Schizosaccharomyces pombe: one gene and its partners. The gene in region 2 interacts genetically with the main gene of each other region. Each region holds a gene or a part of one and is shown on either strand. Other genes may lie near its edges.

Region 1 (4,286 bases), on a different chromosome or scaffold from region 2:
GTGGGATTTGTACAGAGCTATCAAGGGAATGGAAACAAAACGTGAAATTGGTGGCTATACATACAAGGTGGTGTTTTACGAAAATGTTTTTCAAGATTCCATTCTATTAGGGTAGGTGTAGATTTGCTTTGGTATGTGTTTGCTAACAACTCTAGAAATTTTGCCTCGCAGGAAGGAAATGTTCTAAAGTATGAAAATGGTCAAAGTTGCTGGAATGGTCCTCATAGATCTGCCATTGTTACTGTTGAATGTGGAGTAGAAAATGAGATTGTTAGTGTACTGGAGGCTCAGAAATGTGAGTATTTAATCAAAATGAAGAGCCCTGCTGCGTGCTCCCCTGATCAACTCAAGCAGTCTTTACTCAACACCCAAAACAGCGCAAACGAAAATGCTGTTAATGGAATGGAAGACAAGGAATCATCTGTCGATGAGTTATAATATAATATCGCTTATGCCATTTAAATAAATTACTACATTCAACTCATGGTCGTCTCTACAGTAAATTACGCCTATTTTTTTTAAGCATTTTGAAAATATACAACAACGTTTATTGAAATATCCAGAACTGATGATGAACTTCGATTCCGTTCATATACGTATAAACACATAAACTGTTAAAACAATGCTGTTATCGTCTTTTAAAAAACCAAATAAATTTTGTTGGTTTCTACCAATATAAAACCCGAGAATGATGTAAAACACTGCTGGGGTAAAGAACGAAGCAGCATGCCATGAATAAACAAAATAACAATGCCAGACGTGTAGTCCAAATATTTTACACTGCAACTTAAGTAACGAGCGATGAGTGAAAATGAAAAGACTTTCCAGAGTCCATAAATCACAATCGGACCGTTCAAACGGGAAATATGCTAAAAAGGTAAACGTTTCAAAGGTGATATCTAACCGGCCATATCACTGCAGCATTTGAAAATAAATACATTTGCAGCAACTCAAATATTAAGTAAGGGTAGATGGGGAAACGGAAAGGTGTAGACAGGGATTGTAATAACGATCGCAGAGAATTTTGCAAGAGATGGATGAAAGGAAATGAAAATGAATAAGAATAACGTGGATAAAGGGTGAAAAAGGTAAAATTGTACAAACTATACAAGTCCAAGGAAGAAAGGTTTAAAAGAAAAGAAACAGAAAAAAAAGGGGTAAGCAAAAGGATTATGGTTAGAACAGTCAAGATACTAGAAGAATAAAAGAATATCATTAAAACCAAGTAATGAAAAACATGATTTTTTAAAAGAAAAAAACTTTTCATGCAACAAGGAAGAATGACCGTTGATCAATGTCTATTGCCAAGAACAGGAATCAAAACACCACATAAAACAGCAACGATTACACAAATGATAACAACACAAATACCAAAGCAAATCCACTTTTTCTTACGAGCTGCTCTAGCGCTCTTGATAGCTCTATCCATATGCTGAGTTCCTTCACCCATATTCGTGCGAACGTTAACAGCATCCGTTACAATTTTATCCACCATTGGTTCTTGCTCCTGTACCATAGTAGCCATATCCTGGAAAAGCTGTGCAAGTTCAGCAATGGTTCTTTCAATTCTTTTAATATCGGCATGACGCTCCTGGACTTCCCGTAATGCAGTGCGAGCTTCACCAGACCGATTTGATCGAAGCAAAGCCTGAGCAAATACTTGTCCACCATTTTCTTCATTTATAGCGGTTTGAAAATCATCTTCAGTAGCCCTGGGGTTGGCAATTTCAAGCTGCCGACGCATACGTTGTTCATATTGAGCACGATATGTCTTTTCTATTTGTAAAAAGTGACGAATTTGGTCCATAAATTTCTTTTTTACAGCTTCGGTCTGTGTTTTTCTGGTGGCTGTGTCATTATCGGGTGGCAGCTGCATATTTTGAGACTCTAATGACCGGATGGCCAACTGAACGCTAGTTTGGAGACGTCGAGTATCTGATGTGTAACCTTCTAAATGGCGAGTCGTAGCTGCAATATTTGCTTCGTCAATTTCTTGCAGCGATTGTTGATGCAACATCTCAATTCGACCGACATTATCTTCGATTTGACGAATGGCATCGCGAATATGATCGATCTCTTCAAAAAACTCTCCCATACTAAGAGGGATCATCTCCACTCCTAGTGTATAATCGTTTGCTTTATTCATTTTGTTATATTTATCTGTTTAAACCCGTTTTGTTGAACAAACAAGGTATAGATACCTTCTGTTGTTGTTGGTTAAAGACAAGAACGTTTTTCCTACTAAAAATAAAGAATCATACAGCAGCATTTAACGAATGTTTTCGCAGACAATGGTAAACAAAAGGCGGCTTAGCAACAACACACTGTTGAAAGTCCGCCAATCATAATCAAATCCGAGCTTTGTGTGACGTAGCAGTGTTTACTTTTTAATGTTGTACAATACAATCCGTTAAACTTGATATCAAAAATATACGCCTAATACTTAAAAATTGAATTCCAAGGAAGTTGGAGTTTGTTAAAATCACAATAGGATACTCTCCTCGTTATTTGGACTTGTATGAGGTACGAATAAGGAGTGAAGTTTTCTTGATATTCTGGTTGAAAAGAAAGATTTTTGCTGTAGTTTATTTCAAGAAATGCATAAAAAATATTTAATTGTTTTTCGTAGTTGATGGAGTTGACTGTCTCGGAATTAATCGTTCTTTTTTGTTTTTGTTTTTTAACACTAAAAGCAATCATGGTTTGAATGCCATTGGAAACGAGAAAGGAATGCTGAAAATTTTAGTTATCATTGTCGGTAATTTTTCTCTGATCTATACTTCTAGGTTTGAATTTGAAACAGAAGTAATCGATATCCTAAGTGATTTTCTTTGAGTAATTAAAAAGATAGTAACTATATACCTCAATATAGGTAGAAATATTTTGACATTAATGAATAAATTAAAATAGAAATTGTAGCCCCTCCAATCCCTAAGCTGTTATGGTTGAAAAGCAATTCGCATCATGTAACATTACAACGTTGCTAATGGAATAAAACAAAAGTCCTGAACAGAAATTTCAAATATTTTACTAAAGTTTTAAAGGTTTAGTAAATGGAACAATATTTTGATGGGACCAGGTCATAATGTATGGTATCGTAGATTTAAAAAATACACAAAATTTGATGACTTCAATGCAAAACATTAAACTCAGAGATTGGATGCACCAAAGAAGAAAAGAGACTATACACATATTTTGTAGTTTTAGAGGGGGATGGCAAAAAGGTATGAAGCATGTGTGTATACGGAAGCTCAATTACCAATCCTTTCTGGACTTCGTATAAAGTATATAATAGTCCGGATGAATTACTTTTCCTGATCTAAATTTTTTCTCTTGGGGAGATGACTCATGAGGTACAAAATCAAAATGATGATAGAAATTCAAGGCGTTTAAATTGGCGCTAAATACTGTCAGGAAAATATATTTTAGGTTTCGTCGATATGCAAGTATACTTGCATTTTTTAATAACCATTTCCCAACGTTCCTCCCTCGTATATGCTCATCTAGCTGTATCTCATATATGTATAAACAAGTCAGACCTGCTTCCACAGTGTCTTCAAAACTCAGAAATCCTACCAATTTTTTCGAGGTTTTTTCAAAAATACAAATATACTCTAATTTTTCCATCTCCATTTCCTTCAATTTCTCTGAATCATCCCATCCGAAGGAGCTTTGTCGATATAGTGCTTCCATGTTCTTTTTTACCAAATTGAAACATTGCTGAAGAAGTCCTTTTTCTAGATGATGATATATCTCCACCCAAACCCCTAAGTTTTTTAAAAAATCAACGTCTTCGAGTGTAACATTCTTGATTTCCTGGGTCTTCATACGTCTGGGTGAGTAAAAGAGGTATTGCTTCAAAAAATGCATAATGTTGTTAAGGTATCAATATCACATTACACTTTTAAAAACCAAAGATTGAATAAGGGTTTAATACATATCGAGCAAAATGCTATCATTTTTATTATTGTTGCTACAGCAAGCCTACTTAGTAATACACGATAACAAAAAATGAATATTCTTAATCATCTAATAATTCCTATTTCCAATAATCGTTTTAAGCCGTATCCTTTATTCAAATAACAGCAGTTGTATTAATTTAGAGCTTGACTTCTGATGAAACCGGAAGAGACCTTAAACGCAATATGCAACTTTAAAATATATATATAGTTTCCAAAGATAGAAAGAAACTTGCAAACAAAAAAAAACTTTTACAAACAATTTCGGGGTCATTAACGCGTATATTTCAATTAGCATGATTTAACTTCAAGGCATTTTAGCAGATA
Region 2 (4,299 bases):
GCCCTGTAAGCGTAAACTAATATGGTTGAGGTATCATTATTATTTCACACAAGTAAACTTAGCGAACATTCGCTAAAAGATAATGTTGATTTTGCTTTAAAAGCAGTCAAATAAAAAAAATACATTTTTAATTAATCATGATTCCAGTCATCAAATATGCAAGAAAGTATTTTATTTGAAACTTCAAAACTTGATATTCTTATAGTTTTAAAGAATTCATTTGTATTAGTTTTGTGCTGAGATTGTAAAGCAGCTTATTACTTTTATCGTTGAAGCGTTTAAAAGATCATTGTTTATTCCAGCAAATAGTTAAGGAAAATTAATTAAAGGCAGACAAATCGAGCTTCCCTTTTATGTGGTTTACAATGTTAATTATGCGATTAAGACCTTTATTCCACATGAGTTTGAGTATTTAAGTATGTGTCAGAAGCTTACAAAAGCATACTAAAGTAAAAGAAAAATCATGTACTTTAGCAATTTGTATATTCCTATGATACTATGCTGCGAACATAATTATCATGTGATTCAATTTTTTGAAATCCCCAATATGAACCAGAAATGTAGCTTAATGTTGTATGTTGATGTGATCACATAATTAAGAAACAACTTAATTTTGTTCATATAAAATCGGTTGCAAAAAAAAGGAAAGCGTTTAACAATTATCCTTTAAAGACACTAGCAAACTGCCACTTTAGAAGCAAAAAATAATAAACCATTATCATTTAACATTATGAAAGCAGAAGTTACTTTGGAACAGCTTTAACTCAATTAGTTTTTACTCTGTCAACAGTGTAATAATTTCAATACTTTATACTAATGTTTTAAATTAATTAAAACTAAATCTCGGTCACTTTTACCAAAGTAAAAATAGGAGATACTATGTCGTAAATCGGGGCATCTTCAAAAAATATACAAATATCATTATAAAACAAAATTTCAAAATTTAACGAAACAAAATCTCCACCTTACTAAATTAGTCCATCGGAAAGACAGAAAAATGAAGGATAGTTGGAAAACTATTTTACAGACATACAAAGGGTCTTTGTAATTATTGAGAGTAAAAAATATATATTTACTTCTGTGGCATCAGAAAGATAACGCATAAATTTTTATTCAACAATTTTTTTCAGATAAAAATATATGTTCTCATCATATGCCTGAATTAATGAAAATTTCAGGATGTGTTTATATAGTTTTTCTGAATCTGACGAGATACACAAACACTTGCTTTAAACTCTATCATTTATAAATTAGAAAAACACAAAATATTTTGAATTATTCATTTAAAGGATGTAAAATTTTGACTGTTCGCAAATTTCAAAAATAATTGTAATTTCCACTAATGGTAAGCAAACTATGCTAAATGTACTTCGAAAGCTTTCGTACTCTAAAAATAGAATGGCCCAATAACATTGATATAAAGTGCTAGTCAAAAAGAAAACAACACTAGCGTATGGCTCCATTGTTTAAATTCTATGATGAAAAGTAGAAAGATTGCTTTCTTAAAAAACGCCAACGTAGAACCCAATATGGCATGGATACTTTCAGAAAATTACTGGATTGAGTTTAAGCAAGAGAGTCAGTCGGCAGCCGACTGTTCATAAAGTCTTGGTAATTTAAATATATTTGTTTTGAAATTTAACGCGACATAGCGTAGAGTAGTTAATGTTCCGGAAATTGATTACAGTGCTTACCGTTTGCCATAATTTGTGCTCGGAAGCTTTGTTTGGTTCTGCAAGTTATTTATTTCATAATAATTTATGGGATTTTAAAGAGGAAGGTGATTAACTTGCCGCCATTTCGTAAAGCAAGCAATTGCATTTCTTGGTTAGTAGCATACTAACCCTTAATTATTCTACAATTTGTATTGAGAAACCCTACATCTGACGATTAAATTTTGTAACTCAATCGAACTATCTGCAACTTAAAACTTTTGCTTACGCCACCCTTCTCGACTCATCTTGGTGTGCACTTTAAGTTAAAGAATGAAGAAGCTGTTTAAAAAGAAGAAGGGTGTTAGCCCGCACATGTATATGCTTCCCGAGGAATCCAACTCCAATACGGCAACCAATGCTCCCTCATATTCGGTCGGTGGAACCACGGCTAATTCATATTCTTCCAATAGTTATAACGACAATAACAACAGCAATAGTACATATGGCTCATCCAACAATTATGGAAATTATGGTTCCTCCAACAATTATGGGAGCTACGGTGCCTCTAACACCTATGGAAGCAATGGTTCTTCCAACAATTATGGAAACTACGGTGCAACAAATTCCAATGGAGATGCTGGGTATTCCATTACTCCAATTCGTAATGACCCCTACGCTAGAAAAGACATGCCACCAATGAAATCTTCTGCTGCAGTTACGGAGAGGCCCAGCATGCATCGTTCTGCTCCCAGTCAAGACACTTTAGATCTCAAAAAACAGGAATTGTTCGCAGGAGCACGTATCCAAAACGATGATGAGTCCACAACGGATACTATTCCCCACAATGATGATGGTACTGAAGGAGATGAATATGGCGAAGGATACCGTGATGGATATGAGGAGGATCAAGAAGTCGAGGCCATCAAACAAAAGATTCAATTTGTCAAACAGGATAGTTTGTCAAGTACGAGAAATGCTTTGCTTATGGCAGGAAATGCCGAACAAATGGGTCTAGCTACGTTAGCCAATTTGGGAGAGCAAACCGAGAAAATTGCCACTGCTGAAAAAGAGTTGGATATTTCAAAAATACATGCTAAAAGGGCAGAAGAACAAGCTCGGGAACTGAAAACGCTTAATCGAAGCATGTTTGCTATTCATGTGCCAAAACCATGGGGAAAGGCAAAGAGAGTCGCTGCTGAAGAAGCTCGTTTGGCCGCAAAAAGAGATGCTGAACGTCAAGATGAAATGCTGAATCGCCAATTCGCATATCGATCTCAGAAACGCATAGATCAGGCTATGAAAGACAACATGAAATCAAATAAAAAGAAGGGTGACTCAAAGGGTGTTTCCATTTTAGAGCGTTCTCATTACCAGTTTGAGCCAGATGCCGAGGATGATGCTATGGAGAAGGAGATTGATGGCAATTTGGACCAAATAGGAGCACTGGCAACTCGATTGAAAGGTTTAGCTTATGCAACAGGACAAGAAATTGATTCACAAAACGCTCGTCTTGGTTCTATTCATGATAAAAGTGATCGCCTCGATACTGATGTATATCTGAACGTTGAACGACTTCGCCATATCCATTGATTTTTTTTAAACCACCAATCGTCTGTATTAGCTCTTTCTTGCTATCTGAATATTGTGCTGTCCTTTTATAATTTTTTAATCCAATACCATTCGCGGTAGCCTATTCGTGTTGCAAGTAACTATTGCAAACTAATTAGATGTTGCAGCTTTGATAGTGGTATTGACTGTTAGTTTTTATTCTATTTTTTTGTGCTGAGTACGAAATGAAGTGAATCCATATCACATAGGCATTTTCGATTTCCATGTTTTTGAGCTATTTCGGTATGCATTAATGATTTGTCAATCGATGGCAGTTTCTTTATTTCATTGCTCGCCAATGTCAAGTCAATTTTAATAGACATTTTTAACCTATATCATCGAAACCTTTATACGCAGCAATATCAGAGTAGATGTATATGATGCATCCAATTTAAAGCATGTGTCCTTACGATTATACTATCAATAGTTTTTTTAACCGGTTTAAATGCAATTAATACAATCAATATGACAATGTAAACCGTTAATAATTTGTTAGAGAGTTTTACTAATTTCCAATAATTTAGGGCAAATGGTTGAACATGAAAGTACTTTGATATCTTCCCTATAGAAATAGCCTTTTATTATTTAATTTGTTAGTTCATCCAATATAAAATATTATATTAAGCGATCTGTGAAATTGAGAAGATAACGCAAGATCTCGCTTACAGTTTACTCTAAACTGTTGTGATATTTCGTTAGCCAATTATATTGTACAAAACTACGTGAAAAGGCATAAAACTCATAGCTAACCAAAACTACGAGAAAAGCAGGTTTATTCTGTTAAGTAAATGTATTTGAATCTCTTTGAGTATAAGTAAATTGCATTAAAAAACGTTGTAGTAATGGTAAAATCAATGACTAAAACAAATGTAGAAATATCAAAAGGTTGCTAGTACACTATTTTCTTTACAAGTACTTTTCATTAACAGCCTTACGTTCATCAAAAATAGCAAGAGCTTCTTGAGCAGCTTTGATGCCGCTAAACATCATACCACCGAAGGTTGGTCCCATACGGTTGGCACCATCAAATTCAGAA
Region 3 (3,712 bases), on a different chromosome or scaffold from region 2:
TCCAAAACCGAATAAATGATGAAACCTATAGTACGCTTCTCTTCTACAAATCCTTTAAGCCATTCCGGAAAAACACTAACAAAGTCATTTAAACATGTGCGAAAAAATGAAGCAATAATGTAAGCCCAGTTCATGTCAGATACTTCAAAAGGTGTAGCTGTAACATTTTTTAGCAAGTTTTTTAAGAAAGAAGACACTTCCTTAAATGAATCAGCGGCAGACCAAAAGGATGAGGAATTGCAGCAAATTCGAAGACAGGACATTTGTTGAGAGGATAGAGATTCAGAAGTCTTTACCAAATTTAAAAGATAATCTTTTAAAATGGACTCACATGCAGCAGTAATGGATTGTAAAGGAAGAAGTTCTAAAAACATGTAAGTACGTTCCCAAAATTCAGGACTACTTATAGACACGAAATTACAATCACTGTCAGAGGAATTTTGACTTTCAAACACTACAGTATTAAAAACGGCGTCAACTGTAGCAGAAGAAATTCTTATTTCAGTATTTTCCTTAAAAAAGCTATGAACCCATTCCAAAACATCGGGATGGGAAGCTTCATAGAAAAATAGTAAATAACCAGGAAGAAATATATTAGAACACCAATCTGAAAGTAGACCATTAAATGCATCTATTGCATTTTTATAAATATTTTTACAGGTAAACAATTTAGGATTCAAGAGGGTTTCGAAAATTAAGCAAGGCAAAGACGTGAAGTCAATTGTTTCATCCTCCAGGGCCTTGAAGTCCTCTAAGACACGGATAATATCCCATTTATTCCACTTTTCCTGTAAATCGGTAATTGAAAACCCAGTAAAAGAATATGAACCTTTCGCAAGGGATTCATTTCGAAGTTCATAATAAGCTTGTATACAAGAAGTACAAGAGCGTAAACGCTCATGATAGGCATTTAATACCCATTTAAAGCTCGGAGTTTCATCATGTGCAAACCAAAAGAAGGTAGGTTGTATATACTGAGTCAGTAGTCCTGAGCAAAACCAATGCTGACCCTCTTTACTAGACGATAATTTTTCAAAACAATCTTGATCGCTAAGATTCTCCGCCATTTGTAACAATCAAATTTAATATTTTTTTAATGTTATGAAGTAAATAATATTTTTTTTGGAAATTTCAACCTGTTTTTCTGATAAAAGAGTGAAAACAAAAAAACAAACAAAAGAAATGTAGGTAAGTGAGTATTGTCTCTTTTTTAAAGACTTTTTTCTAATAAATGTATGATTAAATGGACCCAAATAAACGTTGTTTCACCGATAGACCAAAAACCCAGGAAAAATCTAATATTGCAAGTGCCAAAACCAAAACCCTAATCCAGACGTAAATCGTAACGTAAATAAAATTTTATTTACAAAAGATCTCAAGAATAAAATAACAAATAACGTTTCGGACGCTACAGCGATGAGAGGAGACCTTTTAACACTATGTGAAAGTTAAAACTTTCATAAAAATTTCATAACTCAAGGAAATTTAGAAGAAGAAATATATTGTTATGAACAGCTCAAATCGCCAAGAAACAAGACGTGTTTCCAAATCTCTATTCCAAAGGGCGTAGTTGGTTCCTCCCAAATTCACCAATACTAAGGATTTGTTTACGTTATTTACTATGAGGGTACAGCTAGTTACATGTTTCTTATTGTAAAAAGGCAAGAAGTAATTTTATTACTTTATTTTATTTTTTTTCTTTAATTTATATAAGTATAATCACAAAACTGCTTTGCAACCCAACATTACAAAGCCAGATGTTTAACGCAATGGAAAGAGGATTAACGAATTGGTACACATCAACTCCAACCGAGCGCAAAAATAAATCCTCCACCAACTAACACATACGACCATGTCTGAGCCATATGACCCATATATCCCGGCGGAGCCTTCTGCAGCTGTTCGTAGTGGAAATGCTGCTGCTTCGTCGACGCCGAATATGAAGACAGCTGCAATTCAGCAGCAGATTGACGATACTGTGGGGATTATGCGTGAAAACATTTCTAAGGTTTCAGAACGTGGAGAACGCCTTGATTCTTTACAAGATAAAACAGGTATGATATTTATTTTTGTTAACAGTTAAATTTTTTTTTTGAACGTTTAGCTAACTTCTTTAAGATAACCTTGCTGTTAGCGCGCAAGGCTTCCGTCGTGGCGCCAATCGTGTTCGCAAGAAGATGTGGTGGAAGGACATGCGTATGCGTCTTTGCATTATCATTGGTATCATCATTTTACTTGTTGTCATTATTGTTCCTATCGCAACAAAATTTCATGGCAAGTAAGAAGATGTATCATGTAGCTTAGTCGCATGCCGAGTCAAAATATTTGCTGTTTGAATACTTTTTTTTCAAGCGTATTTTTGTCTCTGGTTTTTTTCTTCCTTCTCTCTTTCTTTCTCTCTTGCCTGACACAACAACCTATAAATCGAATTTTAAGAAAAAAGCTTCTGATGTAGACAGGGCCACTTTTTTTGCAAAGAGATAACGCATTTTTTCTCAAGATCCTTTATTCGTTTTTATTTTTCTTGCATATACATACTTGATGACTGACGGGTCAATGATAGTGAATACCAGGTTGGTTTTTTGTTGAGCAATTTGGTTTTGGCCTGTATTGCTTTTTCCTCTTTTCTTCTTTCTACACCTCACCATACATATCATGGGCCTTGCTTGCTTGACAAAGGAAATCTTTATGGATACAAAATTATCATTACTTTCCGTACTTAAGATGGTAAATAGAATTTTTGTTTCCTTCTCGGTATTTCTTTTCTATTCCGCTCTTTATATGGATAACCCTATAGCATAAAGATGGATAATGTTTTAATGTATACAGATTAGCCTCGATATTCCATTTGTCTACGGCTTTTTTCTAATTCTTCAAAAGTACTTAGTACGGGAGCAAATTTGTTATCTTATTTTCATATTTTTCCTTTAGAAGCTAGCTTCTTTTTATACTGATTATTGCACTGATAGGTGTATTAAAAAACCACTATTCTTAATTAATTTTATAGAGTGAAATGTGTAAACCTGATAATTAGGAAATATTTTTTAAGTTTGCTCACACGTGGTTTTATATCCAGATTAACAATTGTATTATTTTTCGACTTCTATTTTGCTCAACAGATATTGTGGTCTAATCCTTCATTCGTGTAGTATTTTAAATTTTGAATGCAGCACGGTTTACGAATTAAGATATATTCATCAACTGGGTTCAACAGTACTGCATTTGTTTTTGTTTACTATCAATGTAACTTAACGTAATTTAGAATTTAATTGTATCAGAAAGTAGTATATTTGCTCCCCTTAAAATGCTTTAGTCTGAAGAATAGATAATAATAGCCCAATATTTTAATAATTTAGATGATTGAAAAAATCAACAGATTTTTTTGTAATATTGTTTGTATGAATTCTCGTTGAAATATAATAATAAACTACATATATTAAATCGTTCACTTTTACTGAGTGATTGAATTAAATATATCTTCAAATATTTGTATATAATTTTAATAAATTGTAATTGTCTTCCTTACTAGAATTACGCTTATAATGATACTAACCAGAAAATTTAAAAAATATATAAGTTTGATATGTAAATAGATTGTGAAAAACCAGGGAATCACAACAACTCTTGATATTTATCAAAACAAAGATGATTATAACCTACATTTTTACTACGGTTCCTTAGGTAACAAGTGCTACCTATAGTTAGAAGTGTA

Evidence for each region.
Region 1: of sec9 (region 2) and psy1, extra expression of one rescues a mutant of the other (dosage rescue), as found in Schizosaccharomyces pombe (2 studies listed by BioGRID).
Region 3: of sec9 (region 2) and syb1, extra expression of one rescues a mutant of the other (dosage rescue), as found in Schizosaccharomyces pombe (one study listed by BioGRID).

The regions. Positions count from the first base shown.
Region 1 is NC_003421.2:1,027,001-1,031,286, forward strand, and holds psy1 (plasma membrane SNARE Psy1), read right to left. Parts: upstream 2,220-4,286; 5' UTR 2,147-2,219; coding exon 1,292-2,146; 3' UTR 501-1,291; downstream 1-500. Other genes in the region: glucosidase II beta subunit Gbs1, read left to right, coding at 1-111, 156-438; putative histone N-acetyltransferase Naa40, read right to left, coding at 3,256-3,828.
Region 2 is NC_003423.3:3,941,431-3,945,729, reverse strand, and holds sec9 (protein transport protein), read left to right. Parts: upstream 1-1,692; 5' UTR 1,693-1,985; coding exon 1,986-3,245; 3' UTR 3,246-3,746; downstream 3,747-4,299. Other genes in the region: thi2 (thiazole biosynthetic enzyme), read right to left, coding at 4,170-4,299. UniProt on the Schizosaccharomyces pombe protein: Has a role in cell separation, a final step of cytokinesis and in the assembly of the forespore membrane. May have a role in the transport of secretory proteins to these growing sites.
Region 3 is NC_003424.3:3,266,459-3,270,170, forward strand, and holds syb1 (synaptobrevin family receptor), read left to right. Parts: upstream 1-1,832; 5' UTR 1,833-1,852; coding exon 1,853-2,054; intron 2,055-2,118; coding exon 2,119-2,282; 3' UTR 2,283-3,212; downstream 3,213-3,712. Other genes in the region: helicase Sen1, read right to left, coding at 1-1,067.